Linked DNA regions of Lonchura striata. The protein of the gene in region 4 interacts with the protein of the main gene of each other region in a biochemical or structural test. Links are inferred from orthologs where the notes say so. Each region holds a gene or a part of one and is shown on either strand. Other genes may lie near its edges.

Region 1 (7,641 bases), on a different chromosome or scaffold from region 4:
ATTAAAAAACCAAATAAGTACATTTAATAAATCAGAGGTTATCTTGGTTTGTCTCCAGTTAAATAATGCTAAATTATTTTCCCAATATACATTTTCAGTTATTGTACTCTGATGTGTTCCATCACTGGTAATTGTGTCTAAGTAGTTACATTTCTCCAAATCCTGTTACAGCAGAAAACACAGATGACTTGCTGTTTTTTTCCATAAACATTTAATTCTTCTTTCTTTTAAAAGTAAAATTAGGTATCATCTGATGCTTGTATGATGTCTCATTATGAAATTCACTCTAGAGTAAATTCTCTATTATAGGAAGTATCTTTCCTTTTTCACAATTGCATGTAATTCTTTCCTACCTATAAGCATTCTCTTTGAATCACACCCAAAGCTGAAGTTATACACACAACTCTTTACTAAAATGTGAGCAACTACATTATGTACACAGGATTTGCTATTTGAAACATAAATTAACATCCCACCAAGTTTTAAATTATTTCCTCATCTTCAGGGACAAAAGATGAGGAATCATTTCTTCTGTTACCCTTCAATTGTTTAACTCATGGTCTTATTAAGAAACCACAGACTATAGAGAATATATTACTCAGACAGAGAAGCATCCTAGTGGTTTCAACACACTAGCAAGAATTCTAAGAAAATAAAGGTGGTTTCAAAACAACCTATAACTGAACTGCAAGTGGTTGCATATCCAGCAGATACATGCCAAGCAGATTAAAGCCAGACAGCTGAAACTATTCTGTCCCTACATCTATCCTTCTCACCCTCCTCAAGGACATCATATGATCATCTACAAATGAACCACCACCTAAACCAACATTTGTTTCAGCCTGGCACACAGGCTATGGCCCCATTCAATTCAGTGCTACAACAATATTGTTCTTCTGCATGCCAGTTCTACAGCTGACATGGAACAGGTCTGGTCTTAGGAGCTGGCTCAGAAATCCTACCTTCACCATTTAAAATGCACATGAGAGAAAGAAAGAATGTCCCACTGTTTTTTGAAAAAATAAATGAACACAGTTCCAACTAAAAGCCAATTATTTCCCTACAACTACTCTTGAGTTGACAAAAACACTTTTAACTTTTACTACATTTAGAGAATGAAAAGTTTGATCATTTCCAGTTGTAGGAAACTGTTGACTCACCATAATTTCAACCCCATTACATTTAAGAACATGTTTCAATAAAAATGCCTATTCGGTAATTTTCACACTTCATTCTGCAGTTTTCTGTATGAGCTGTAAAACTTTCAATTACTTGGTCGAACCTAGATGGTACAATCTTAATTCTGAAAAGTCATCCAAAGACCACAGTTGATAAAGATTGCAAAATATTGTGAAAAGACAGGAGAATAGCTGCTCAGCTTAGACATGTTCCCATGGCTAAACTGTGTGATTTCAAGTGGCACACCCAGAAACTTGCACATTTTTTTTAATATACCTTTCCATGCTGCCAACTTCTTAAAATTAAAGAGAATTACCAACATAAAATGCAGTAATTACATCCATGGAAATAGTCCACCAGCAGAACATACAGGATTTGTTCACTCTAATAATACTTCATTTTCAACAGCTCCAAGATATAGAGGGACACAAGAACAAGTTTGCTTGTTAAGACTCGTTAAAAGTTCCCACCTCTATAAAGCACATGTGTCTGATTAAAGATACCTGTCCATCAAGATCTAGTGTCTTCTGCTTAAACATTAAAGAAGTTACCCCTCAATGCTGAGCAAGAGAAAAGCAGGGGAGTTACTGATTGGCTGAACCAGATCCCTTCAGGTCACCTTTGCTCCTCCTTCCTCTCAGGTCTCACCAAAACCTGAGAGCATCACTCTTACTACTGACAAGGAAAGCACCTCAGCATTGGGAGCCAGCACTCTCAAAGGACTATAAGGAGGTTCAAAAAAGGATTCATCAATTCTAGAGTCAGCTATCACCAGCACCCTCCCGAATCTTAATACTTCCGACCAATCCACGAAAGGCAGTAAAACACCCCCTTCTTGGGTCTGTTACAGAGTTACAACTTTTGCAGGATGATGAAGTTGAATGCCAAGATGGAACAGCAAGCACACAGCTCCTGCTTCCTGTCTCTGAAACTTGGGAACTTCAGGTATTGTCCTTGCACACAGTTGGAAAAGAAAACAGGATCAACACAAAGACCCTCTGCTAGCTTTGCTCTAGGAACAAGAGGCAATACCGGCAACTCTGGTGGGTCAGACGGACCATATCTCGCTTTGGAGGACAGCAGCTTCAAGACAGCCCTGATGACCCACCCGCTACCCCCAGAAGTTTCCCACCTGCTTGCTCACAGACTGACCTCTTCCCTACGGCTCTCAGCACCCCAAGAAGCCCCCCAGAGGGATAAAATCTCCCCTCCTGTAACATCAATTCCGAGCCCCGTCCTCCTCCTCCTGTCCCGGAGCCCTCCACCGAGCGGCGGGGGCCCTACAGCGCTTCGCTTTCCACGCCAGCCCTCCGCTTCTCCCTTCCTTTCAAAGCCAACCCGCGCTCTTTCCACACACGCAAGGGACGCAAACGGAAATAACAGTAGTAATAATAGCAAAACACGAGCAGCAAATCCCACGAACAACATGCAGCCCCACAACTTACCACCCAAGTCAGTCCCCCGCTGCCGCCGCCGCCTCCTCCTCCTCCAGACTTTGCCATTTTCTGCCCGTCTCTCCTCAGCCGAGGCGAGGGCGCTCGGAGGCGGCCGGGAGGGCCGGCACCGACTCCGCGCCTGGCGCCGCTCCGCGCCCGCCCTCACCGGCGCCCGGCACCGAGCAAGGGCGCCCGAGGGGCCGCACAAAGCGCCCCTTCCGCCGGCGGGGAGGCGAGAGGGAGCGAGGGCCCGGCCGGGCCTGCGGCTCTCGCTAGTTTAAAGGGACGACGGGCCGGTCCCTTCGCCTCGCGGCGGCAGCGGCGGCAACAACAGCCACCGCTATCGCCGCCGTAGCGCTGCTGCCTCCCGCCCCCCTCCTCACCTCCGGGCCGTCCCCCCCCGCAGCCACAAAGGCCCGGAAAACAGATTAATAATAAAAAAAATCTCCCCTTCCCTCCCTCCTCCCTCGTCCCCTCCCTCCCTCGTTCACTCCCTGCCTTCCCGCCCCTCGCGCGCGCGCGCTCCCGCGCAGACCCCGCGCCCCCCGCACACACGCACACCCGGGACTGGCCCGGCCCCCTCCTTCTTCCCCTCCTCTCTCCACCCTGCGTCCCGGCGCCCGGTGCCGCTCCCCCGCCGTCTCCTCCTCCCCCTCCTCTCCCCACACAACCCCCGAAGCGCTCCCGCCGCCGGGACACCGCGCGTAGACAATAAATAACCGCGCCGGCCCCGCTGGGCGTCCGCGCCGCGGCCGCTTCTCCCCGCGCAGCCGGCCCGGGCCTCTTCTCCCCCCGCGTCTTCTGCCCGCCAATCACGGGCCGGCCCGCCAATCGCGCGCTGGAGGCGGGAAGGCTGCGCGGAGCGCCGGCCAATCCGAGAAGCCAGAAGGAGAAGCCGCGTGTGACGTCACCGAGGGTGGCAACAAGGCGCGAACAGCCCGCACGGGGGCGCTGCCGCGCGCGCGGGGGGCGGTGCGAGGGGAGGCAGCGCGGTTGGGTCGGGATAGGGATGGGGTCGGGATAGGGATGGGGCGGCTGGATCGGGATAGGGACCGCGGCGAAGCAGCGCCCAGCTGCCGGGTCAGCGACGGGCACCCTCGCCCCTTCTTCCCGCTCTGTGACGGCGGGCAGGGAGACGCCTCGCTTTCCCGTGACTACACAGGGGCATTGGTGTGGGGACTGGCAAAGCACGGCTGTCCCGTTTTCCTGGTGTTCCAAGTGGATGATGCTGCGATGCGTGGGCGGAGAAGAGGTGATGCGGTAGGTGGGCCAGGTGTTCGAGGGTTCGGCGGGCAGCTGTCCCCTTTCCGCCAGCCCGTAACTGGTCCCTGCAATTGCCACCGCTGCGACCTGCGGCGGTTACCAGCAGGCTGGAAGTCCCAGTGCTCCAGGCAGGAGTGTATTTACAATCCACTGCCCTCTTCTGGGCTCTGGGGATCGGCCCGAGGAGCTCTTTAACTCGGATAGCTCACAGACCTTTATCCTCCATTTGAGCATCATCGTGTGAAGTCCTCATAGAGGGTCACACAGCACAGGACCCCGTTCTGTACGCAGCACACAACCAACCCTGTGTAGTACAACCCTATTCGCCGTTTTGAAAAAAATGCTGTGGCCAAAAACCATCTACTTCCTAGGTCTAACCAGTGTCTGTATAAAGCTCAAAATTCATGTCATTTTAGGTATCAGCACAAAAAATACGTACAGCTTTGCATACTTTACACCAAATGTATATAATACTTATATATGTATAACTGTAAATATTATAATCAGCTTCTCAATTAGCAATTTTCATTCTGCTGTGTGAAATGCAAAGGACCTACCCAGTCCAACCTGTTCCATTACTTGAATTATTAAGAATGTAAAGTCTCAACAGGAGGGATCAGTAGGACCACTGCATCTGAACTAGCAGACAAATCAGACAACCATTTCAAAGGAAGAGCAATTATTTAAAGGTTTTTCCTTTTGCAAAATACTTTTCCGGAGGAGTAAAGGGATTGGAAATTAAACAGCCACTTTTGAGGAGTCAGTTGTAATGTTCAATTATGCCTCAAGGGAAGGATCAGAAGAATTTCTAGTAAATATTGCTTATTTAGCATAATTTTACTCTGCCAGTTTCTAAGGAAGCTATTAAACTAATATCTAAGTGCTGCATAAGGATTATGGAAAATAATGGCATCTGCCTAGAAGGGACAGTAAGTTATCTGCTCCAGCCTAGTTTTATTGCAGCTCCATGTGCCTCTGAGCTGTAGGCAGTGTTTTCTTCTACTTTTGGCAGAATCACAAGGTAACACTTGCAGGGTTATGCCTAGTGCTTCAGAATTCTGAGCTTGCTGATTAGAACTGTGTTGATTTTTTTTTTTCCAAAATCTCAAATTCATATATAGAACCCATTACAATTAATCATGTACAGTGAACTGCTGCAATGAATATTGCGTGGATCAGAGTAAACAGGAGTGCCTCTAGTCACAGCTTTTTGCATTGGTAGAGGACCATTTCTGTATTCAGCAGAAAAAGAGCAAGTTTCAAACATTAGTATACTATGTTCTCATTAGCTCCAGCTGTTTAGTAAACAGGCTGTCCTTAGTGTGGGAAGTGTGCCTTTTGCAATGTGAGCCAAGCAGAAGATAGCAATCTAACTTGAAGGCAGCCAATGCCATATATATTAGAGAGAGACAGAGGGAGTTTCTTCTTGGCAGCTACTGCTCTTTGAACATGCATGGTCAGACATGTTCAGTCTGTGTCCCACTGCAGCAAATTTATGAGGAAATGCTGATGTTCCCTCAAGCATTTTCTTTAGTCCTTGAAATTACTTTGTCCAGGTTGGATTTTATTTAATTCTCATCCTTACTATGCTAGCTGCACGGCATTTTACTGGCTTATTGCTGATGTTGGTTTTTATCCCTAATACTTATATGTGTATGCTGAGTGGTTGCATTGCTAGTCATATAGGATTGTGGAACAAAGTTCTCATGAGACCAAAAGCAGCTGCTTCTGTGGACTGCAGAGGTGGAGCAGTGAAATGAGACTGCTCATCACATTTTAAGAGATCCCTGTTAAAACAAACACAGAAGTAGATTTGAGCATGAATCAAATTCATGTGCCATAACATTTTGATAGGAGTGGAATTACTTTACTGAATGCAACCTGCCCAAATCATGCACTACCAGTTCATGTCAAATACTTCACACTTACTGTGTGACATTTTAAATTGGTAATCCCCTTGAGATTGTACACGAAAAGTCCTATTTCAATTCATTGGAGATTTACTTGTTCTCACAGTTGTAGACCATAACATAAACAGAAGTATCCTAGAGGCTTTCAAATCAATGATCTACTTAAACCAGTTTCACTAGTGCTTTTACTAAGCAAAATATTTATTGTAATACTACTTTGTGTTCAATCATTTTAGCAGTAAGTACGTATGATCTTTAAGTATTTCTATACTTGGTATGTACAAACTTCCCATCTATTCGAAGTTACTTACTGCTTCTAGTTTACTTGCTCTCTAATAAAACCTTTTCTTTCAATGTGGCTTTTCTAGACACAGAGTTAAAGGGCCTAAAATATGACTATTTGTGAAACTATGTACATTTATCTAATCTGTGAACATACTCAGATACAAGCACTTACTTAAATGACCAACCACAGCTCTTTTTCTGCAAACTACACAGGAAAAAGTGTAAATTTTTGCTAAAATATTTATGAAACTAAGTGTTGATGCCCATTACATTATACATTCCACATTGTATGTAGTTGTAATGAGGTATAAACAAACATTGCATATTTTAATATTAAATATCTACACTCACAATAAAATATTTTCCATATTCTACTGCATTTTAAAATTTCATTATAATTCATTAACATAATTTTGAAATAATTGACCAAATTATTGAGTAGGGTTGCGGCAGTACAATATGAGAGTGACCAATACATTTGTACTACGTTGATTGCGAATGACCTTCATGCCACGGTTCCAAAGTATTTAAGAGAAGCCTACCCATGGCTGGATCACCTAACGATATACATTTAGCCAGGTCATGTGTTCTTACACAATTGTATCTCAAACACCTTCATTGAATTAGCAAGAGGCCATACTAGTGGTTTTCTGTGGGTGTGCACTGTCAATGCACTGCACGACACTCTCAGCTGAAATGTGCCCAGGACTTACATACCTGATGTATCCATGGCACTTTTGTTAGTAGCTGTTCCTGGGGCCAGATTGTTCCACAGCCAGTCTCTTGAAAAACATCAGGTAATTTCCATCTTAATCCTCCAGAAACATGTACCACTTGTGACAGTCTGCTTAAACCCTGTTTGCCCTCCAATTCTTCCTCTGGTGACTAACCTGTTACGTGCTGCGCTCTTGGCAGAGGTGTGGAAAACTCAAGTGGGGCATGCTGTGAATGCTACTGCCAGGCTGTTGCTGGGGAAGAAGTCCAGCAGAATCCCCAGGGTTAGCTACAGGATGGACCCCTGGGCTCCATCCTGGACTGCCCATTGCATGGCTGAGACTGCTACACTGACCCACCTGACTTCCTCCTGGATGGCAGCACCTCCCTGCTGCAGGAGAGGCAGGGTGTGTTACAGACCTGACGTGCTTGGCCTCTCACCTGAGCTGCACAGTCTCTCACACAGAACAGGAAAGTTGTGTCACTTGTAAACTTTATCTGTGACTAGAGGGGCATCCAAGCCCATTCAATCTCCTCACTGTCAGCTCAGTCTTGAATTGTGATACACTTTCACTGAGCAGCATAATTGCTGTTTCAACAGAGGCTGGTCATAGAAATTAAATATATTTGTATTGAAATTCCTTGTATAGGACAAAGCTCCCTTGTGCAGTGACCACACACAGCAAGAGATGTTGCATGCAGAGGTGAAGCAGGGGAAGCTGAGCTGGCCATACTGGGACGAAATCTCAACATCAATAGAATTACTACCCATGCAGACATCCACTGAGTCTTTAAGAAGAGTTGGTGGCAGTAGAAAAAGATGCAAATGCCTGGAGGGACAAAAACAATGTTAA
Region 2 (7,641 bases), on a different chromosome or scaffold from region 4:
ATCTAATCTAAACATACTCTTAGTCTGAAGCCATTCCTCCCTGTCCTCTCACTATATGCTCTTGTTAGAAGCCCCTCTCCATCTTTTCTGTAGGCTCCCTCCAGGTGCTGGAAAGCTGCAATTAGGTCATCCTGAAGCCTTCTCTTTTCCAGACTGTACAATCCCAATTCTCTTTGTCCTTCCTCACAGGAGAGGTGTTCCACCCCTCTCATTATCTTGGTGTCCCTCCTCCACACTCATTCCAACAGATTGATCTCCTTCCTATGCTGAGGACCCCTGAGCTGGATGAGAACTGTAGGTGGGGTCTCACCAGAGACTGCAGCAGGATCACTGCAGCAGGATCCTCTCCCTCACCCTGCTAGCCACGCTGCTTTTGGCACAGCCCAGGACACACTCGAACTTCTGGGTTGCAGGCACACATTGCCAGCTCATCCACTAACAACCCAAAGACCTCCTCTGCAGATGCACATGAATACTTGTGTGTATATAATGAACTTTGAACTCAATCAATTTTGCCTAAATCAACCAAAATATTAAGACATCTCAGAAATAACAAACTGCTTATAACTTTTGCAAAAAAATCCCTATCCTTCATACCAGAGCTCCTAAATACCTCTGATTAAAGCTGAAGTTCAACATACAGACTTTTTCTGCAAACACCATACAAAATGGGGGGGAATCTAGTAATTCTTCAGCATATTGTTCAAAAATGAGACAAATCTACAAAAAAACCAGCCACTAAAAATACTGGCATCAGTGAATACCAGTAGCAATATGACTTGTTCCTTCAAGAAAAACATCTTTAGATGTGGCTCCTAGGGACATGGTTTTGTGCTGGGTTAATGGCTGGACTCAATGATTGTTGTATTGTGTTTTTATATTTCTGTAACAGCTCTGTAATGGTTTGTCCCTCCACTCCCCACTTTCTCCCTGTGTTTCCACCCCAAGTTTTCCTGCCGTTCTCTCAGTGCCAATCTCCCTGACAATGCTTAGTCACTTCCCCCTCCACTCCCTGGTACCTGATCCATCACTCTCAGCTCCCCAACCCATTCTTCCCAAATCTTCTACCGGAGCCTGGATTAAACCTGAAACTGTTTCCCCAGCCTTAAATCATGCCACTCATTATCTCCTCCAAATGCTGCCTCTCCTCCAAACAAGGCAGGAAGTGTGACTTTCTGCCTTAGCTGCTCCCTGACTCTCCTCGAGACACAGGGGAGTGACCCCTGCAGCTAACTGTGCCTCTGCCAGGCAGGTGAAGCCAGGGGGCTTCAGCTTTGCAGCGGCAGAAAATGATCTTAATGGTCTTTTCCAACCTAAACAATTCTATAATTCCATGTAATCCTGCCATCCAGCACCACTTCAATGATGCCAGATTGAGGCCAGAACACAGACAGCATGAAAAACATTCTGCTTCTCTTGGATATTCAACAGATACAAGTGTCTCGTGGTCACATAAAGCATGCCAGCATTAGACTGTGTTGTACAATAGACTGCCTCACAATTTGAGAGCATTGTTTAAGGCCTCTAACCTAGTATTTCCTTCCTCTTCTACATTGAGTACATTGATTTCAACATTGATTTGCAGAATGAGCAATGATTTATGACCACATTTTCTCTACAGAGCCAATGACATCATTTTACACCCTTCCAAGAAAGGGCATATAAACTCCTTTAAGATGGAGTTGTATCTGCCATAAACATTCACAAATGAAATTATCTGTATATTCAAGAGTAATGCTTTACATCAAAAGATAATCATCATCAACAGAGTCAATGAAGACCCCTCTCCTGTTTACTGGACTACTGAAAGTGTATTTTTTACAACAAGCAGTATATTTCCAGTACAAGGTCTACTTACTCCAATGAACTCAATCTCATCTTCACTTCCCGAAGCTGGTGATTTACTCTTGTGAAGGCTGTCAGAGTTATGAGATTCCATTATCTAAACAGAAACAAAATATACTATAGAATTTCACTTTTTAAGTTTAATTTAACTAAACAGTATTTTCCATTTTACGCCTTATTTGGCTTTGCAGTCTATCTGTATTCAACAAGTCTCTATCATTCACTCCCAATTACCAGTGACACCACAAGTGGTGATAAACAACTCTGACTGGAATCACACTACTCCATTTTTAATCTGTAAAACGTGGTTTTATCTACAAAGCATACCAATACCTACACTCCTCCAGCAGCCGTAGCTGCAGTGTAGCAGCCCAAGGACATGCCTGAACCTGAAACCCCAGCAAGAGCCGAGACCCGAGCTCCAGCCTAGCGGACCGCCGAGCCGAGGCCGGCCCGTAACAGCTGCGGGCGAGCTCGGGCGTTTTCAGCAGCTGCGGCTGCAGCGGGCCGCTCCAGGAGCGCGGCGCAGGGCCGAGCTTCCTGCTCCAAAGCAACGGCGGGGGCTGCGCTGCTGACTCACGCCCCCGCCCCGCAGGGCCCGCGGCACACGGCTCCGCGGGCTCCGCACGGTTCCTCACGGCTCCGCACGGCTCCGCGGGCGGCACACGGTTCCGCACGGCTCCGCGGGCTCCGCACGGCTCCGCGGGCGGCACACGGTTCCGCACGGCTCCGCGGGCTCCGCACGGCTCCGCGGGCGGCACACGGTTCCGCACGGCTCCGCGGGCGGCACACGGTTCCGCACGGCTCCGCACGCCGCGCTGCCCGAGCCGCGGCTCGCCGGGCCCCGCCGCGACCGCTGCAACCGCCGGCCCGCGGCCCGCCCCGGCCCCGCTCACCCGCCGGGCCCCGCGGGCAGCACAGGCCCGACCCGCCGCGTCCCCGCTTCCCCTGCGGCCCGGGGGCGGGGCCGGGCCGCGGCACGGCTCGCCGGGATCGGGAGGTGCCGCCGCCGCGCCCCGCGTTCCCCATGGCAGTGCCGGCGCTACCGCGGCAGCGCCATGGCGCGGCCTCCCGGGCCGGCGCGCCGGGCTCTTCCCTTCTTCTGGGCCCTCTCCTTCTTCCCTTCTCCCCTCGCCCGCCTCCAGATGCGCTGCATCGAGTTCCGGCCCGGCGCGGGAAAACCCGCTCTCCGCTTCCGGGGAGGAGGAAGGGCGGCTGCTGGGGCTGGCAGCCGAGGGGCGGGAAGGCGGCAGAGTCGCCTCTCCGGGTCGGGCCGGGCCGCAGTGCCGCTGCCGTGCTGTGCCTGCTCAGCCGGCCAGCCCCAGCCACCTCACACGGGGCTCGGTCCAGCCCGGGCATCTGCGAACGTCCTTTGCGAAAATCTTGCGGGAGGCGTTGTTGCCAAGGGCAATGGTGAAGTCCAGATACACAATGGTCGTTGCTCCACTCATCTACCAGGGAAGTCAATTTATCACACAAGTTTGTCAATCTGGTCAAGCCTGGTTTCCCCTTGGTAAAGCCATACTGACAGCACAATGATTTTCTTGTCACTGAGATACCTGGAGATAGTTTTTGGGAATGGCTGTTTCATTACTTTCCCAGGGATCAGGATGAGGCTGACTGGCTTGTGGTTCTTCCTGCTTTCCTCTTTCCTGCCCTTCTTGAAGATGGAGGTGATATTTTCTTTCCTCCAGCCTCAGGCATCAGTCCCAGACCCCATGACCCATGAAAGATAATTGAGAGTGATCTTGCCATGACATCTGTCAGCACCCTCAGCACCTGTTGCTGCATATCCTGTCAGGGCCCATAGATTTAGCATGCATATGCCCATCTTGCTAAGGTGTGTATATATTCCCTGTCTTGATCCTCTCCCACCAAATGTACATCTTCCTTGGTCCAGCCCTTCCCCCTGATTTTTGGAGCCTGAATCCCTGAAGGCCGGTCTTGGTAGTGAAGACTGAGGCATGTACTGTGTCACTATATCATCTGTCTCATTTATCAATGGGCCTACATTTTCCTTTGTCTTCCTTTTGTCACGTATGTTCTTCCAGAAGCCGTTCTTGATGTCTTTGACATCCCTAGCTAGGTCCAATTCTAGTCGTGCCTTATCTTTCCTAACTTCATCACTCTATGCTTGAGCAATGTTTCTGTATTTCTCTGAGATAAGCCATCCTTGCTTCCATGCTTTATATGCTTCCTGTTTGTGTTAGAGCTTGACCAGGAATTCCTTGTTCATCTACGTAGTGGCATTTTTGCCTAACTTCCTGTTCACAAGGATAAACTGTTCCTGTGCTTGGAGGAAGTTATCCATAAATATTAACCAGCTTTCTTGGGCCCCTCTTGCCTCCAGGGCTATATCTCATGGGATCTTCCAGGCAGATCTTTGAAGATACCAAAATTCACTCTCCAGAGTGATGAGCCTGTTTTTTATTCTTCACCCTCCCCTCAGGATCCGGAGCTCCACCATCTCATGTTCACTGTGGCCAAGGTTGCCTTGAGCTTTACATTTCCCACAGTCCCTTCATGGGTACAGGTCCAACAAAGCATTGTTCATTCTTGGTCCTTGTTGACTCCTTTATGACCAGAAACCTCCTGGATTACTTATGTCCTGCTGTATTGTCCCTCCAGCAAATATCTGAATGGTTGAACTCCCACATTAGTACAAGGGCTTACAAATACAAGGCTGCTCCTATCTAGGAAAGGACCTGGGAGATTTCTCCATTATGGTGTCTCATAGACATTTCTTTGCTTACATTCAAGAGCTGAAGGTGATCTCTCCTAAGCTCCATCTTCCTGATTTTGTGTTCTCTTTCTCCCATATCACCTTATGCCCTTTACTTTTTTCAGTGTCCATCGATTCCCCACTGTTGCATCGCTGTAAACTCTTCTTGCCGCAGCACCCCGAGCGGTGCCGTGCTGGGCGGCGAGAGGGAAGAGAACGGGCGGCCGCTCCCCCTATGAACTCTGCAGTCCCAGTTGGTGGTGAGGGAACAGACGGAGGCGACATGGGACTTGGGGATGAACAGGATGGTTTTATTCAGTGAGCCCCAAGACCCCCTTGGGAGGGGGGGGCAAAGGTTTTATACAAGAACTCAGGAAGACGGGTGTAGGAACAGTAACCAATAAGGGAATAGTAGGGGAGGAGTTTAGGGCAAAACTAACATATCACAAACCTATCAGGGGAAGCAGGGGAGTGGAATAACACAAAATAAGCAGTAGGGTGTCGAGCCTCACTAAATAGACAGGGAACGCTCTGGAAGCAGTGGAGGGGGCTAGGAGGAATGACAGAGAAGGTTCTAGGGAAAGGGGTAGGGAAAGGGAGGATTGACAACTTAGAGATGAGGGGTTAGGGAAGAGCTAGGGAAGACTGACAACTGGGGAGAGGTGGAGATTAGGGATGGGGGGAACAGACATTGAACAAATATCAAATTAAAGAAGAGACACACCACCGCACCCCACAAGGCTGCTGGTTACTTTCTTGCTTAATTATTACTTTCAATCTCTGCTTACATGGTCATAATCCTAATGGTAAAAATAGCTTTGCCCTGCTTAGAGAGGTGGATCTCATCTCTGTCAAGCAGAACGTGATTTGCAAGCAGGGTCTCATGGTCATACAACTCAAATCCTTGTCACCAACACAAGTTCTGCCAACAAGTATTGACTTGTCCTATCTGTGCCCCCTCACTGCTAGGATTGAGAAAACATCACTCAGACCCCCACACCCATGATTCTTGCTATTTATCTGCAACTGCTCTCCTGCTTGTTCATATAGCTACTTTTTGCCACCAAAGTAAAAATCAGTATGAGTCATCTTTACTCAATGCATTGACTTTGAGTAAACTGAATAGTGTAAATGTCACCTGTGAGTGGTGTATCAGTATAAAAGAGCTGCTTGCACACCTGCAAAGCACTTCACTGGTGTGTGCTTATCAAATCCTGTAGACACAGGAGAGAAAGAATTCAAGGCTGCTTGTTAAATTTTGGTGTTATGCAAGAGAATAAACAACTATCAGCAATATAATATAATATTGTGTAGGGATTAATTAGTGCATTTATTTTTCTTGAAAACACAGAGTTACTAGTGTTAGTTTTAAGCCTCTTTCCATGTGAATGTAAAAACAGCTCTATGGTAGAAGATAGACATACTGAGCTGCTTGTTATATCTACTAGTTATATCCTCAACAGCTGTACGACTTAATCACTCTTGTTGGAGTATATAAACTACACTCATTTGTCTACTTTTATTTCATTATTAAAATAATGGAAACCTGACTGTCACTTGGAAAGTCATTGTTGCTGCCTTAACTTTAATATTTTGCATTAGTAACTTGAATTTGCTAACAGAAAATTGATAGCAGTCATTCTGTTTGTAGCTTGTATTTGCACTTAATAACTTTTGATTCTTGAGAATAGATAATATAACAACCTGTAGTAAAAAGTTACTAGGGCAGCATGATGGAATTGTATTTCCAAACTCTGAGACTCTATGCAAATGATGCTCAATTAAATATGAATTTTTCAGTAGTCATTCATGTAAATGTTTACCCTTGCAATGACCAGTCCAAATTTCCTCCTTGTATGTAAACAATACAGTTATGGAAAAAAAATAGTAATGGAGTTGCCATGCAATAATTTACAATATGCTAACAAAATTCTGAATTCCAAAATTTGTGTATTTCATCTAATTCCTGTGAAAGAACAGTTGTCAGGCTTTGGGCCAGCTTAGGGGTGTTCTTATGCAGAACTTGCTGGGGAGCGTAGGGGAGATTAGGTAAGAAGGAGCAGGGGTTTTTGTTAGATCTTCATGAGATCTCCAAGTCCAAAGCTCAAATGAAGTCTAGATATCACATAGATTGTGGAAGCTGTTTCAGAGCAGACGATCTTTATAAACTTAGTAATGCTCTCTAGAAGCTAATTCCACGTATTCACTATATGCCCTTAATTATAGAGTAGGTTTAGATAAAATATTATTAGGAAGAAATGCCTTACTGTGAAGGTGGTAAGGCACTGGAACAGGTTGCCCAGAAAAAATGTGGATGTTCTATCCCTGTAAGTGTTGGATGGGGCTTTGAGCAGCCTGGGGTAGGGGAAGATGTCTCTGCCCACGACAGGGGAGTTGGAACTAAATGATCTTTAAGGTCTCTTCCAACTTGAACAATTCTATGATTCTAATTCAAATATATTTTTCAAACATATTTCAACATTCTTGCTTCTCTCCTTGCTCCCTTTAAGTGAAACACTGATTGCCTTTATAACCATTGATTTCCCTCTTGTATCAACATGGCATAGTGCCACTTACTCTTGATCTAGAAAACTCAGATATCTATTGGTTTTGGTTTTTTTACTCCTATCTATATACCCTAATAACAGGGGACATGAACTCGACATGCATTTAACTCCTTGATTCATTAAACAGTATATTTTTTCAGTAAAGCTTTTATCCAATTCTTCACATATCTCAATATTCCTCCTGTCTTAGAAAACAAGCACTTTTCTGACCACTTCATGATAAACAGTTACCAAATTTTTTTTCCATGCTAACCTTCAAATTCAATCTAATATACAGTAATATGAATAAATAGTTCAAATTATTAGTTTTAGTATTGCTTACCTTTTCAGTAGTAAATCTCCAGTTACTAAATGCCATACAGTCTAATGTCACTACTACAGCTTCTGTAGCAGCCATCAATCTTCTCCCATTCTGAGGACTGCAAATAATGTACCCTCTGTTGCTCATATCAGAATTTTACACTTCAGAACATCACACATTTACCTATAACAAATTAATTTTTACTT
Region 3 (7,765 bases), on a different chromosome or scaffold from region 4:
CTGATTTCCACCGTGGAGGTCACCGATATCCCACACCCGGACCTGCATCTCCTCCACCTGTTATCTTCCACCCTGGACTTCTCAAGAACTTGGTAATTCACACCTAGCAGTTCTCTACTTTAGGATTATCTGTTTAGGAGATTTTAGGAGATGGCAGCACACAGACACAGGCTGCCCAACAGACATCTCCTCCCAAGGGAATACAAGCTTTTCATGCCATACGTGTGCTTCCTTCCATGCCTCCATCCTGCTGAGCAAATGACAAATTCTTCTGGTGTTCTAAGCCAATTTTCCAAAATGCTTTCTCTAATCTGTCTCCTTTCTAAAGCTAAGTCCTGAAACAACACAAACGAAAAAAAAGCAGAGTGGCAAAGTTAAAATTGTGAAGATTTAAAGATATTTTTCCCTAAGTTTAGACCATCAAGGGCACAGCTTAATATCAACACTGGGAATCTGTCAGATGCACATGCCATCCATGGACGGAGGGAAAAAGCAGAGAATCCTGGAAAGCAGCATCTTCCACATTTCACTTTACCCAGAATATCTGCAGTCACTAAAACTTACTCTAACTGGGTGGCATTTTACATTTCCAAATGTAATTGAGTGAGCGTGTTGCCATGGCGACAGTAGGGTTCTGCAATAACTTTGTTGCCTTGTAATTGCTGTATATTTGTATACAAGCAGCTGAGCTTTCCTAAATTCAATGCCCTCAACTCTTCCAGCGAGGCTGCAGAGCGTCGGCAGCAGCTTTTTAGGCTGAGAACTCCTAACAGTGGTGCTGGAAAGATCAGAAATTATTAAAACTCAGCGCCGCGACCGACCGCGTTACACACACACACACAAGAAAAAAAAAGAAAAAAAAACCACCAGGAAACCCGGCCAAGAACCAGATTATTATATAAACTTCAGAGCTCCTTAGCTTTTAAAAATGTTGCCGTTGCAACAACAACAACAAGAAAAAAAGCACAATTCAGATAATTAACTCCAGGTAGATTTGGCAACAAGCAAAGCACTTTGAGGGCAGGGAATAAATGCGGCATGAGTCCCATTTATTGACAGGGCATAATAGCAGTAAATCAAAACGCACTGGCCAGGGGATTATTCACTCTCTGTAGCTCCCGGGGCCAAAATAACGCTTGCTCCATCTCCGCGGCCTCAGACCAGCGCTCTGAGGACAAGGTGATGCGGCTGGGGAAACGAGCACCGCACCGAGCTGCCTGGTGGGAAAGAAGCGGCAAGCCGGGAGAGAGCCAATGCCTCGCTGCACGCCCCATCCCAGGGTTTTACAAGGCATTTTCACACCCTGAATCCACCCACACCTTCCCGGCACAGATCCCCACTCCTTGGGAGCATTTTCAGAGCTGTAATCCAGCCCGGAATATGAAGCAAGGCTTGAACACGAAATCCTCCCGTACGGGCGTTAGCGGCGACGAGTCTGATTTATGCAAATCAGCCAAAACAGTCTATTGACAGGCAAAAAAACCACCAAAACCAGCACCTTCCCCTGCGGAGTGGGCGCACAACACAATTACGCAAGTGCTTTGAGCGAAGGGCAGGTTGCCTTCCCGTCCAGCCGCTGCCCAGCGCCGAGCACTGACAGTCAAATTATTGTTATGTAAATCCATCTGCTCCGCCGAGCCGTCACAAACACCCCCGAGAGCACATCTGGGGCAGGCAGCGGGCAATATTTTGGGGGAGCGCCGGGATCGCGCAGCATCTTCCCCTGATAAATCCCTGCAGCAAAACCCACACGCGGCTGCTGGGCAACACCTCCCTCTCTCCGCGATCCTCCGCCACCCCAAAGCTCGGCTTTTTCTGCTTCATTTCGCCCCATGCAAGCCGAGGCTTGAGGTTTCGCAGCGGCACACGTGCTTTATCCCCCCTCGAACCCCCAAAACCGGAGTTGTGGCGGCGAGGCTACAGCCCTGGGCCTCGGACCTGTGATTGCCATCGCCGGGCTCTCTGAGAACGCCGCGCTGCCGAGGGCAGCACCCCCTGTTTGCTCCTCCCGGGCACAAAAAAAAAGCCATTTTGGGGCATTTTCTCCAGGAGGAGGTGAGTGCCGCGGGGCCCGAGCCCGACAGCCCCGGGGAGCGGGGTGAGAGGACGCAAACTTTCTCCAAGTCCCGCGTTATTCCCACGACAAGGACAAGGGAAGGAGGCCCGGGAGGAGAGGATGGAAGGACCGATCCCGGGCCGCGGCCCGCCCGTTGCCCCAGGGCCGAGCCGCGGGCGTCGCCCCCTCCGCAGGGCCGCGCCCGCCCCGCCAAGCCGCGGCGCCAGGCCCCCGTACGGCGCTGCCCGCAGCCCGCCGCTCGCTCGCCTCGCCGGTCACTCACCGCTGCCCGCATCGCCTCGACTCGCCCCGCACGGACCGAGCGCCGCCGCCGCCGCCGCCGCCGCCGGGGGGGACGAGGCGGAGCCGCGGCCGCCCGGGAGGGGCGGGGCGAGCGCGCGGGGGGCGGGGCTGCAGGCGGCGGCGGCCCCGCCCCCCCATTCACAAAAAACCGGGCCCCGCGCGCTGAGTGGGCGGCGGCGCTGCCCGTCACGCCCCCCGCGCCCCGCCCGGGCCGGGCCGATGGCGCGCGGGGTCCCCGCCCCGCCCGGCGTGCCGCCCAATCAGCGCGCGGCCTGGGGCGCTGCGCGGCTCAAATCCGCCCGCCACCACCGCGCGGGTGCCTGCGATTGGCCGCGCCAGCTGCCCGTCACCTCCCCCTCCCGCGGCCGCGGCGCGGCGGCGACCAGCGGCCCCCGGGAGCGGCCCCGCCGCGCCGCGAGCCCGCCGGGCGGGGAGGCGATCGGCCTTAAAGGGCCGGCGCCGCGGGCAGCCCGGGCGCGGGGGCGGCGCGGCTCGGCGGCGGCGGAGCGGCGCGTACTGACCTGGGCGGCGGGCGAGGCGGGGACGCTGCGCGGCGATGGCCCCCCCGGCGCGGAGCGCGCCACCGACGGACTCAGCCCGTGACGGGTTCCGCCATCTTGGAAATCTTTTTAGATGGAGGAGTCACGTGGTGCGACCATTTTTCCCCCGCAGCCAATCGGCGGGCGCGGGCTATTTATAGCCGCGCGGGGGGAAGGGGACCAATCGGGCCCCGCCCCGTGCGCCCCCGGTCACGCCCCGTGGCGCGCGGCCCGTCGCCATGGCGACCGGGGGCGGGGCAGGGCCGCCATGTTGGCACAGAGCCCGCGGGGATCGGGGGTCGGGACCGCAGGACCGGCGTCTCCAGCCCCCACCTGCGATCCACGCCGTAGAGACCACAGTGTGATAAAACGTGGAACTCTGGGGTTTTTTACCCCCCGATTTTCTGCACCCACGGTCCCGCTCCCTCATGGGCCGTCCTGTGTTTTCCGTCAGGTGTCGCCTGTAACAGCAAACAGCTGAAGCGAGGGGTAAACGACAGAAAGGACAGGGCACGGTTCAACATATTTGCTTGAATTACCGAGAGGAAATTTAAAAATGAAAATAAAAAGGAGTTCTCCGGTAATGTTTCCCTCTACCCCCGTTTTCGCAGCAATTTACTGATTTTTGAGTTGTACGTGGAATTACCCATTGAACTGACACATCTCGTTTCACTCGTATTTTCTTGATTTATGCAGTGCCCAAAACTTCCCAAGTCGTGCTCCCAAACATTCCGGACGATGGGAAGGAAAACACTGCAGTATTGGGTGCAAGAAGTTCATCCTGTGGGACACAATCCAGTGGGAACATCCCACCGGCGATGTATCATTCCATTACTTCTGTTTCCCAGAGAAGCTGTGGCTGCCCCTACATCCCTGCAAGTGTCCAAGGCCAGGCTGGACAGAGCTTGGAGCACCCTGGGATAGTGGAAAGGAGATTTCCTGCTAAGCTTCCAAGGAATTTCTTCCCATCCTTGCCTAAGGCAAGCTGAAACATGACATTCCTTACTCACAGGCAGCCATCCCAGCACGCTTCTGGTGGGTTTGATTAATTGGCTCTCGCTAAATTGTTTTTTAAAACTTCCAGATTTCCCTTATAGCAAAAAAAAAAAAAAAAAAAAAAAAAAAAAATTTAAAAAAATAGGAACTCCTGTCATTCAGCCATCTGGATTTACATAAATTTTGGGACTTGATGGGAATTGCTAACAACTTTGTCCGTCTCTCAAATCTGCATATACATGGTAGTATATAAACACTGCTCCTTTTCTCTTTTACCTTTTCGGAGATATTTACCACCTCTGATTTCATTTGAAAGGGCCACCCTTACAAAAACCCTTGGCATATTGATCCAGCCATTAAAGTTTCGGGATTTTTTTCCACGTTGTCCACAGGCTCCAGGAAATGGTGACATTTCCGTGGAATACACACCTGAGAGCACCACTGGCATTAAGAACACCACTTCTGCCTGAAGCTGAAGCCCTTTTTGTTTCATTTGCAGCTTCTTTAGGCTCGTGGGCTTGTTTGTTGTTCTTTGGTTGGTGAGGTTTCACAGAGTTGCTCTGCCCTCTTTATTTGGGGCCAGCTGTGCGCTCGGACGGATAAGGGAACGTGTGTATAAATAACCTCCCAAATTATGTTTGAGTGCCAAGAGACCTGTGGGTGGAAGGCCTTCAGGGCCAGAAGGTTACCAAAGCAGGGCAATATTTGCCAAGGCAACAGGTGTGCTGCTCATGGCTGGTGCAGGGCACGGCTGTGGCAGCCAGGTGAGTGTCTGCCCTCCCCTGCAGTCCCCATTTCTGCTCCAGCCAGGGGGAGAATTGGTCCCAAATCCTTAAAACGTGGGTTACAAGCAGCCCAGCTGCCTTTCCTCGCTGCACTGCTAGAGCAGTTTGGAAACAGGAAACAAAAGGAGAGAACTGTGCCCTGGAAGTTGCCACGAAGTGTAAGTTCTACCTTCAGGTTTTGATTGATGCTGTACCTGTGGCTGTGGGTGTGAGTATGTGTCTCTATTAATACCCAGTCTAGGCTAACCTATGCATAATGGCAGAAAATTAAACCTTTGTCGTTGTGCATGGAAATTAGACCTCAGATTCACAAGGGAAAGGCTTCTTGCTATATGTTCAATCCAACATATTGGCTATAGCTGTATATAGTCTGTTTTTGCTGTATTTGCAGCTGAAAAACTTACTCAGAGGCCTGTTGAAGCAAAAAATAAAAATCTAAAATAAAAACCAACACCCTGGCAGAGCTAATTCATAAAGATTTAAATAAAAAGCAATTACAGAACTTCACGCCTACCTCCACCTCATCTTTAGCTGAACTCCTTGTTTGTCAGGAATGATTCCATTTCTTATGTTCTCAAGCAGGAAACAGCCATCACAACACTCCAGCTAATTTCCCTCGCTAGTCACACGGAGCTGGTGAAAGGAAAAGAGAGTGCTTCAGTTTTCCACTCCACAGCCTAAAAAAAAGGAGGATAGAGTTAGGAAGAGCGCCAGCAGGAGCTTCCTCTGGAGCCTAGACACCAAGTGGCAGTGACACTTGGGTCCTTGGAGAAAAGTCAAGCCTAGACACAAGTTCCAATCTGATGATGGCTCCCTCTTCTTCCTCCTGATCATTCAGTCTCCATCACTGACCTCCCTTGGTTTTCCTGTCCTACCTGTCACCTTTCTGTGCTATTTCCCACTCCCTGCTCTGTATCTGTCCCACAGTATACTGGTTTACTACTTTTTGCCATCAAAAGGAAAACCCCATCAAACCCACATAATTTACAGCACAGCTCTGATGTGACTGGGAATGTTAAATTTACGTTGCCCCTTCCTGTGTTTTCCTCCAGCATACCTTTTATTGTGGAGTTTTGTTCGGTTGTTACTGGTTTTTTAATCCTGGTGAGTTTTGCTTCAGCTGTAACTCCTTGTTCTCTCTTTGCCTCACAGCTTGCTTTGATCCAGAACAAGGTGGTTCTCCTCCAATTCGGAGCCCCCACGCCTGTGTTTGGCTGCAGGAGCTGCTTCCCAGCTTGTCTGCACACCTAACACTTCATCAAGTCTGCAGCACTCAGGGCCTGAAGAGCTGAAACCCTGAAGCAGTAAGAGCCAGACTCTTAGAAACAAATTATTGCTGTTGTTTTGGGCAAAATCAAGTCCATGTTCCCCAGCTGGGGGGAAAAACAAGCAAGTGAAGTTCAAAGTGGAGGTCACAATGTAAAGTTTGCTTTCTTCTCCATACTTACGCTTTATTTTTGCTGATGGAGATATATTGGATTGTTATGGCAGTCGTTTTACAATGTCTGAGTACAAGACACTTTTAGAATAAAAATGTTTGCCAATTTTGTTTTCAGTATTTTTCTGGATTTCTATAAGCTTCCTATTTATCTAGCAGCTATGCTCTCAACTACATTATGGAATAGCCTGACTTGGAGGGGATCCACAAAGATCATCATTCCTACTGCAGAGAGAAAAATTATTCTGTGGCCATTACAAACAACTGCCCAAAAGTTCTTATGGTGTCATCATCCCTCCAAATGAAACTGAAGAATTAAGAGTATGAAAGAAATCTCTTTTCCCCCTCAATTGTTTGGTTTTGTTTTTGTTTTTTTTTTTTTTGTTCACCCCATTTTAGTAGCACATTAAGGCTTAAATTGAGATAAAAAGCAGAAATAAGTCTAAAATTAATATGGATTCTTTGTGACATCAAGGCTAGAATAACTGATGGATACACTTTGTTTATCAGTGCTCATTTTCCAATTATTAATATTAAAAATAAAGGAAATGTGTATCAATTTATTATATTTCTTTTCATCCAGCTACTGGAAGAAAAATGTGGGGTGTGTCTCTCTGTAGTGAGAAAACCTTCAAAGAAATATTGATCCATTTTTCTATTCGGCCTCTTTCAACCAGGCAAAAAAAAAAAAAAAAAAAAAAAAAAGCATCATCCAGGGTGTGAAAAACCATTAAAATCTAAATAAATGTAAGAAAAATATGACCAGGGAAAAAAAAAAAAAGCAAAATAGAAAAATAGAAATAAAAACATTTGCAGCCTGGTCCCTGGGTGTTGGTTTTATGTGAAGAGACTGACTTGCAGCTGGATGACGAGTAGGATATTTTTCTACTGAAATATTGATAGTAGATCACACTAAACCACAAACTATCTCCAGAAAGCCCATCATTTCTAATCCTAATGGTGTTTTCTTTCCCTTGGCTGACTGCTACATTCATGAGATGATGGCTTTATTCTATCTGGGGGAAAAACTTTTTACCATACAGCTAAATTAACTTGTCAAAAGACTTCAAACTTCGGAAGCTTTTACAGCCCAATTCAAAGCTATTATTCAGGATTGAATGAGAAGGCTGTGGACTGTAAAAGCTGGCAAAAAAAAATAAAATAAAAATTTCAGCAGCATTCAGGAGTTGAATGGAGGGCTCACTTTTTGTTCAGGTTGTGTGTGTTTCATTGAGCTGTCTCAGAAAGAGTTGGATTTTGGTATTTTAAAGCAAAGTGCTTCTTTCTGCTGCTCTGGAAGCTTTGACCCAGTCCATGCTCTTTCACACACACTTGGTTATATTTAGTTTGTGCCAACCTAAATAAGTGTCAACCAGCTTTCCAGAAATGTGGGGAGCACAAAAGAGAACGACCAGCAGCTAAATTGAGGCAGAACAAGAACACAATTGGACTTATTTTTATCCTTTTCTTTTAAAATCAGATCACAAACTATCTTACAGTCAGCTACAGCTTTCTCATGCAAATAAAAATGCCTGGCTTCAGGAGCAGCAACTTTTAGATTTTGCAGACAAGGAGCAGCTGGCAGAGCTCGTGCTTGGAGTCTTTCCTGACGTGGATCCAATCTACTTTGGGACAAATCTGGAATAAA
Region 4 (7,255 bases):
AAAATCCTATCAGGGTAATGAAAAAATCATCACCAGAACACTGAAACAATTGCAGTCAGATTTGGTGGCTTTGGTACTTACAAACGGATGATCTTTTCTCCAGGCTTTTCTCTCCTGTGCAAGTCTGCTAAGAGCTATGCCAGACATATTCAGAGTCCCTCTGAAACAAAAGTAATTGCTGTTAGCATATACTTTAACTTATAGCATAAACAATGCATTATGTGTTTATAAGCCCCTGCTCACTCAAGAGTAATTTTGACCTCTCATTTTCACTTCAATAACCTAGCCACATGTTTCTCACAGCTGGCAGAATTTATCATCAGGAATAACATCAAATTTCCCTATGCCATCAAGTTCTTAGTTACTGGACATGACCTACAAAATTCCATTCTTACCTTATTGTTTTATATTTGAACCCCATCTTCGAAGAAACTTTGACAGTAGTTTGACAATAGAAACAGTATTAGTAATGGAAAAAGTGTGCAGACTTCCTACTTGTGCAAATGACACACTCTTTATCTCCCTCCTACACCACATGCAATATGGCAAGTTTCTTCTGTAGGCAAACACCTGTATTACTCCCATTTCTGCAAATGGGAATAAGAAATACTACTTTTTGGGTAAATTCCCATTGAAAGCCAGTATTCCCCACAAAAGCAACAGGGGCATAGAATTTAACAAAGTCATCTCAGTTTTGCAGTGATGCTGCTATAAAACTTCTAGACAACATCAGGAACAGGCAGCAACTTAGCTAAGGAAGAGCCAGCAGCTCATTGCACAAGACAGATTTTCAATTCCAGTATAAACTGAAGACTATTTCTGAACCTTCACGGCCTTAGTAATAGCCAAGCATGGTAACCACCATAATAAACCTTTTTGACAGCAGAATAGTAGAATGCTTCCACTTGAGCTCACAGAGTGACTCTCAGCAGTGTTACCACTCTATTAAAACAAACCCTTATACACTGGTTAAGGATTATGCAAAATTTCACAACCTCTCAATATGTTGATTATTTATAAGAAGTACTGCAGTCTACTACTATTATAAGCATATGAATTGTAGAACTTTAAGCAGCTTATGCAGTTCCTAGAACAATATCTATTTTAAATCTGTTCTCCAACCTTTTAAGACTGTTTTGCCTAGATGGCCATATTCCCTAATTCACTTTCAAAGTAGCAACTAAATTAATGTCAGATAAAGCTTTTTAAAAGGGACAATTCACACTCAGTGGACATGCACACACACAAAAATATTCCTATGTTCAGTCTGATTTTCCTCCAGTAGTCCCAACACATCCACCTCTGTATTAATTATGGCAGAAGACTTGCAGGACTTAGGGAATGTGTACACATGACTTCAGATTTTAGTCTGCTCACAAGCTGGAGATGCAGAGCCATTGAAAAAAATACCAGTAGAACTGAAAAAAAACCCAAGAAACCAAAGACAACAAAAATCCTCTCCCTTAACCAAATTATACAGGCTGCAAGTTTTACTATGTCATGAGCAAGTTTTAATATGTTGTAAGAGATGTAAATGAACTGAATGTACAGCAGAATTTCAGCTGTGCCTTTGGTACCTGGTAGTCCACTGTACCAATACTAACTTTCCCATCACAGGCATATTTGCTTATAAACCATCCAAATATTCCCACATAGTTCACCAAACTCAGCTACCTTTTCTGCCAAAAAAATGCATTACAGGATGCTTTCAAATATATTTATTCCATTTCCTGTGGCTAACAGCCAATTAATTACAACATGAACCTCAAGGGAAACGCCAGTTTCTCACTGGGTAAATAAGCAGCGGATCTTCTGCAGAACATCAGTAACCCAGTAACTTTTTGAGTAATTGAAAAAAAAAAAAAAATCCCGAGTACTTGCTTTTCTTACACACTATACTGTGCCTTAGTACAATAAAGGTTTTTCTAATGGTCTACAAATAACTTTCCAAATCTTGAGGCATTAGACTTAGTTAAGCACTGAAAAATTTCAGCATGTATGACAGACAACAAGCTTCACATATATGGTTTCCATAGACTTCAGTTACACTGACGAGCAGCTAAAACCTCATCAGTCTAACAGAAAATAAAGATTAAACAAGACTGAAAGCTCATTTCACAAACTAAGATCCCATTAGTTAAGCATCCCTTCACAAGCTAACTGGCAATATAAACTCTCTATATCCCAATCTATTTATGTACTACATTAACAGAAAGAATTTTACACCAGAGGAAGTCTATTCAATTCTATTTTGTGGCACATGCCATGAAAGTCAAAGAGACCACTCTTCACGTTTTGAGTTGAATCCCCCAAATTCACCCCTGCCATTAAGAGGTAGTAATGTCCCTTTTACTGCCATCAACTCAGAAAGTTAACAGAAACTTCCAAATTTACTCAATAGCTTGCCTTTGCTGCTGCTACTGCCTATTTTAAAAAAAGGACGAAATAAAATCATCACGCTTATCATAAATGCAAATTTTTGTGTCCCATTACAGAATATCTTACCCATTTACACTCTCCGATGAGGTGGAATAACCTACTTTCAGACACAAAACGCACATCTCGCAAGGAATCGTTCCTGTGCCACAAACAACTCTCTAAATACATCAACAATATGCTCTTTGAGGTTCAAGAACTTTCAGTACGACTTATTGATTCCAAGCAGCAAGAAAAAAAGTCCCCAAAACGTTAAGATTGCTAGCCTCATTTTTTACTTTGCAGGTTAAATACTGACATAGAAAGTCAGTATTATCGAAATAGTTTGCCCCGAACTATTGCAACTTTATTTTTCAGAAGGGTGGAGAAAGCCACGGTCTAAGCTTTAGTCAAAGCACGCTAACTCTGGACTAGGATAGAAAGTCTCCTCTGCTTGCGGCAAGAAAGGTAGAAGAGGCCGAGCGGCGACCGGAGTCGCTCATTAAACAACAGAAGATGCCGCGCGGCGATGGGCTCGGTGTTCGACGGCCAAGTGAGCGGACAGGGCCGAGGCCCGCCCGCCACCACCGAGGGCCGCCGGTCCCGTCGGCCCCGCGAGGGGCCGAGGCAGCGCCCAAGGCCTGCACGGGGCACCGCGGGCCCGCCCGCCGCTCCCGGGCAGCCACCCGGCGGGGCGGGACGGACCGCGCAGACCGAGCGGCTCCACGCCCCGCTCGGCGACCTCCGCCCGCCACCGCCAAGAGCTGCGAGCCGCTCGGAACCTCCGGCGGGCAGCGCCGCGCCGCGCCGGCCGGCCCGGCCACAAGGCAGCAGTCGCCAGGCCCGCACGTCCATCCGCCGCTCCCGTCCCGTCCCGCCGTAGGCGGGGGGCGCCCGCCCGGCCCGGCCCCGCTCCCCGACCCCGGGGCCGCCGCGGCCCCACTCCCGGGCGGGCCTCACCGAGAGCCGCCGCCGCCGCGCGTGTCCCGGATCGAGGCCGCGTCAGTGACCCGGATGTTCCCGCTCCCGCCGCTTTGTCTCCACTCCGGAGTTTCCCTCCCTCTCGCCTCGCCGACGAGCGCGAAAGCGCTATTCTGTCCCTCGGCCCGATCCGTCTGTGATCCCATCGTCACGCTTTGCGCATCCTCACGACACAGGACCCAGAGGTGCCCCCAGCAGTGCCTGAGTACGGAACACTAGAAACCCCTCCGCAGGGCTACACCGAAGCCGAGCACCTCCCGTGCCTTCCGCTGCCCCGCTCCGGCCGAGAGCCGAATCAACCTTTACCTCTGGCGCTCCGGGAGCCGCCTGTCGCTTCCGAAGGCCTGGTGTGTCGCCGGCGCGCTCGGGTCTGCGGGCCGCGCTCCAGCCGGGCCGAGCCCCGCCCCTGCCCGGCCGGGCCCGCGGGGCGGGGCCGCGGCTCCCGCGGCACTCCCGCGGCGGCGGCCGGGCCCGGCGGCCTATCGGAGCCGGCAGCCGCTCGGGGGCGGGCTGCGTTCGCCTCCGGCCCGCGCTGCTTTCGCTGACCTTTACGGGATTTCTGACCTGGGTTTGGTTTCCTTGGCGGGGGACGAGTGGGAGGGATGTTGTTTGGGTTTCTAAGAACACATTTTAAATGGCAAGTGGAGTATGAATCACATTCTATTCCCATCTTGAACTTGTCTTTCTTAATGAAACTGAGGAATTTTTAGTCCTGAAATCGCTGCCTTGTGCTAGTCTGTATCAATGTTACTTGAAAGATGTTCTATGTAGTATTAATGCTCAAAATGGTTTCTTCAGAAGTCTAGGATTGACTATTTCAATAAATAATCACCTGGATTCCAATCAGCCCTAATCAAAATCTTCAGCAAAGATCACTCTACCTAAGAAACCTTTCAACAGGGGCAAATGCACACTGTAGACCAGGATAAATACATACTCCCCTGTGTAACTTTCCACACAGTGACATGAAAAGCAGTGGAAACTGTCAACACCTGGCTTGCAGGACCTCTCTCACGAAATTGTACACATTACAGTCTCTGAGAATGTCACATACATGTGTGTATGACTTATGAGGCAAGAGTTCAGCACACTGAAAGATGAACAGCACCCAAAACGGTGAATTTGCAGGATCATTTTCATCTTTTTGAAGTGAAACTTCTCACTGAAATGAAAACTAGTGCCAAATGAACCCTAGATGTTATAAAAGATCAAAACAGGTTGCTAATGACTAAGTTGTTTATGTCCCCTTTATAACCTGGTTTCTAGTTCAGGGTAGACACTTGTCTCTTTTGTGCTCTCATTTTTCCTAAATGGCGAAAACACAGCAACAGGTATATAGAATATGAATTTGGATTGAAAGTCGTGCTGGCTGACTCTAAAATATAAATATTTTTAGTAGGACAGTCTGATGAAAATACAGGTGCACACACTGATTACTTAATTACTGTAATTGCTATACTTGATTACTACAGCAGTGTTTGTTCTTAGCACTTATTTTAGTAAAATTCAAATGCAATTAAATGCAGCAAAACAGTTTAGTAAAATTAGAATTTTACTGATGTTGCTGAATATACAAGGAAATAATAGAATGTGCTTTGCACTTAAAACTGACTAAACTGTTAAGATGAAATTTGCTTCACATGTAACTATAGAGGCTTTAGGAATTTAAAAATCATGGGTCTTAGCTTCTCAAGTTCTTACTAGCAGTTTGGGAAGTAAGAGCTGTCCAGTGGTCTTCTCAATACTAATACTCAATTATAAACTTTTCTATAGTTGTAGAGGACACAACTGTCAAATTTCCTGGATAATTTCAACAACCTGTACTTTGTACTTATAGTTTACTTCCTTAAGCCATTTCTATCCTTGAAACTTATTATATGTTTGACTTATTACAAAGCATCAATTTCCAATAGCTTCGTTTTTCAAACAAAGGAAGCACTTATATTAAAAAGCAAACTAGCGGATTCTAGAATGTTTGCTGTTAGGCAGGGTGGTTTTTGAGTTGTGCAAAAGAAAATGTAAGCAAAGTCATTAGTTAAAACTTTTTCATGTGATTATATATCCATAGAAGAGACAACTATTTCCTCCTACAATAACCAGCATGTCACAGCAACTGCAAAGGAAAATAATTTCCCAACTGATATATATCTGAATAGACCTAACTTTTTTGTGACAAAGTCTTTGGGGCAGCAGTAAAGGATACTTCTTTACAGAGAAGAAAGCATTAATGCTTTGAATCACTGCACAAATGTGCAACTACATTTTACATCTCAAGTGCTAAACTAGAATTGTCACAGGATATGACACTATTAATATCAATTAGTGCATTTAGAAAAGACAGATGTAAGACATCACACTTTAAAAGGGAAAAACCAGGTTTATTTCATGCAATTTACAATACACTAGTGTTATGAAAAGGAAGTTAAAAAAATACCCATACACATTTCATTTGTTTGTTTTGAAAGTGATGGTTAACTGTAACCACCTTCAAATTATTTGGGAAGCCCTAGCAGATTTTTTTCCAGGGAAATTTCCCTGGAAATTTCAGTTTCTTCAGTTTCTTGTCTAGTGTCTGTGCTATGAGTTTTGGTTAATGCAAATGCATTAAAACCAAATCCTAACTCAAATTTTGCTGCAGTAAGAACACTTCAGAGATAATGAATTGGCACAAAATAAAGTGTTATTGCTAATCCACTATCCAGGAAATGACATGTTGCAAGTATGGCCACTTGGGTATAAGCACAAACAGCTGATGCACAACTAATTTTGAGACCAGTGATTTGGAGGGAAAGGTTAAAAAGAAAAAAAATGTTGAATTGGGTAGGTGATCCTAAAGAGTGCACAGGAAGTTGATTTCTCACAGCTAGGTTGAGGTAAGAAGCAGGTGGAAAAAGCTGCCATTTGATACTGCTTCAGTCCGGTGATCTAATTCCAGTAGAGAGGTTGGTAACATTCCTTTTAAGAGGGCCTTGGCACTTGCTTCTTTCTAGCAAGTACACATGAGCCAAGTTAATGTGAGTAAAGTTGTGCATAAGCTTTTGGAGAATCTTCAAAAGTAGCAAGAATCATATAGATAATAAATACTTTTATTCTTACTCTTTACTCATTTCAGATGACAAGGCCTCAAAATCACAACAGGTCTTGGGTCAAAATTTAGGCTTAGCTTTCTAAGGCAAGGAGAGCTCTGTCACAGAACCTCTTCCCTTTCCACTCACCCCCAAAGTAGCAAAATGACTTTAAAAAAAGTTTCTCTTGTTATAGTACTTATTAAGATACAATATCCTCAAGTTATTGTGAAATGTCTTTCCAGACAGCCTCCAGAAAGCTGTATTTGCAGAAGTATCTACTCACTGAACTTCTGAGAAGTTTATGCCTTGGCAGACATCATTAAGTAAAGTTCAACTAAGTTGCAAAGAAATATTCTGTGACAATTTCCTGGGGCAGAATCTTCCTCAAAGCTTCTCTATTACCAGTGCTGTTCATAAAAGTTGTTATATTTCAGCAAAGGCAATAATAAAGTGGACGGTAAGTGTACTGTCTTCTCTAGTGTGCTCTTACCCCATCTGGATACTGAAAATCCAAGCCATATAGGAACACTTACATATGCAATTGGTTCAGACATTTGTAAAAAATATTTTAGAGTCCATGAGTTGAAATGGACTAGTTGTTTTTTAGAAATTGTATGTCTCTTGAATCTCAAATGAGCCCTGGAAAGCATTTTAGCCCTTAGCATTTTTGGTCTGAAAATGAAAAGAGTTCCTTCTCTCAGTCATTTAGGCAAACTGGACAATAAGATCTATTTAGCCCTTTAAAGCTGCTGTTCATTAAGAAGCTTTTAAAGACAGCTCCTGATTTTTGT

The links.
Region 1: the proteins of UBE2I (region 4) and TOP2B form a complex in vitro, tested with the Homo sapiens proteins (2 studies listed by BioGRID, with this or other methods). The link is inferred for Lonchura striata from reciprocal best matches to the Homo sapiens genes UBE2I and TOP2B.
Region 2: the proteins of UBE2I (region 4) and ZNF451 form a complex in vitro, tested with the Homo sapiens proteins (2 studies listed by BioGRID and IntAct, with this or other methods). The link is inferred for Lonchura striata from reciprocal best matches to the Homo sapiens genes UBE2I and ZNF451.
Region 3: of the proteins of UBE2I (region 4) and HDAC4, one has a biochemical effect on the other in vitro, tested with the Homo sapiens proteins (3 studies listed by BioGRID). The link is inferred for Lonchura striata from reciprocal best matches to the Homo sapiens genes UBE2I and HDAC4.

Annotation. Positions count from the first base shown.
Region 1 is NC_134603.1:118,068,402-118,076,042, reverse strand, and holds the start of TOP2B (DNA topoisomerase 2-beta), read right to left. Parts: upstream 3,012-7,641; 5' UTR 2,682-3,011; coding exon 2,625-2,681; intron 1-2,624. UniProt on the Homo sapiens protein: Key decatenating enzyme that alters DNA topology by binding to two double-stranded DNA molecules, generating a double-stranded break in one of the strands, passing the intact strand through the broken strand, and religating the broken strand.
Region 2 is NC_134605.1:89,238,945-89,246,585, forward strand, and holds the start of ZNF451 (E3 SUMO-protein ligase ZNF451), read right to left. Parts: upstream 3,019-7,641; 5' UTR 2,892-3,018; intron 2,847-2,891; exon of another isoform or gene 2,742-2,846; intron 2,354-2,741; exon of another isoform or gene 2,183-2,353; intron 1,943-2,182; 5' UTR 1,940-1,942; coding exon 1,859-1,939; intron 1-1,858. UniProt on the Homo sapiens protein: E3 SUMO-protein ligase; has a preference for SUMO2 and SUMO3 and facilitates UBE2I/UBC9-mediated sumoylation of target proteins. Plays a role in protein SUMO2 modification in response to stress caused by DNA damage and by proteasome inhibitors (in vitro).
Region 3 is NC_134610.1:36,921,228-36,928,992, forward strand, and holds the start of HDAC4 (histone deacetylase 4), read right to left. Parts: upstream 3,017-7,765; 5' UTR 2,881-3,016; intron 2,435-2,880; exon of another isoform or gene 2,340-2,434; intron 1-2,339. UniProt on the Homo sapiens protein: Responsible for the deacetylation of lysine residues on the N-terminal part of the core histones (H2A, H2B, H3 and H4).
Region 4 is NC_134618.1:17,602,464-17,609,718, reverse strand, and holds the start of UBE2I (SUMO-conjugating enzyme UBC9), read right to left. Parts: upstream 3,012-7,255; 5' UTR 2,562-3,011; coding exon 2,506-2,561; intron 161-2,505; coding exon 82-160; intron 1-81. UniProt on the Homo sapiens protein: Accepts the ubiquitin-like proteins SUMO1, SUMO2, SUMO3, SUMO4 and SUMO1P1/SUMO5 from the UBLE1A-UBLE1B E1 complex and catalyzes their covalent attachment to other proteins with the help of an E3 ligase such as RANBP2, CBX4 and ZNF451.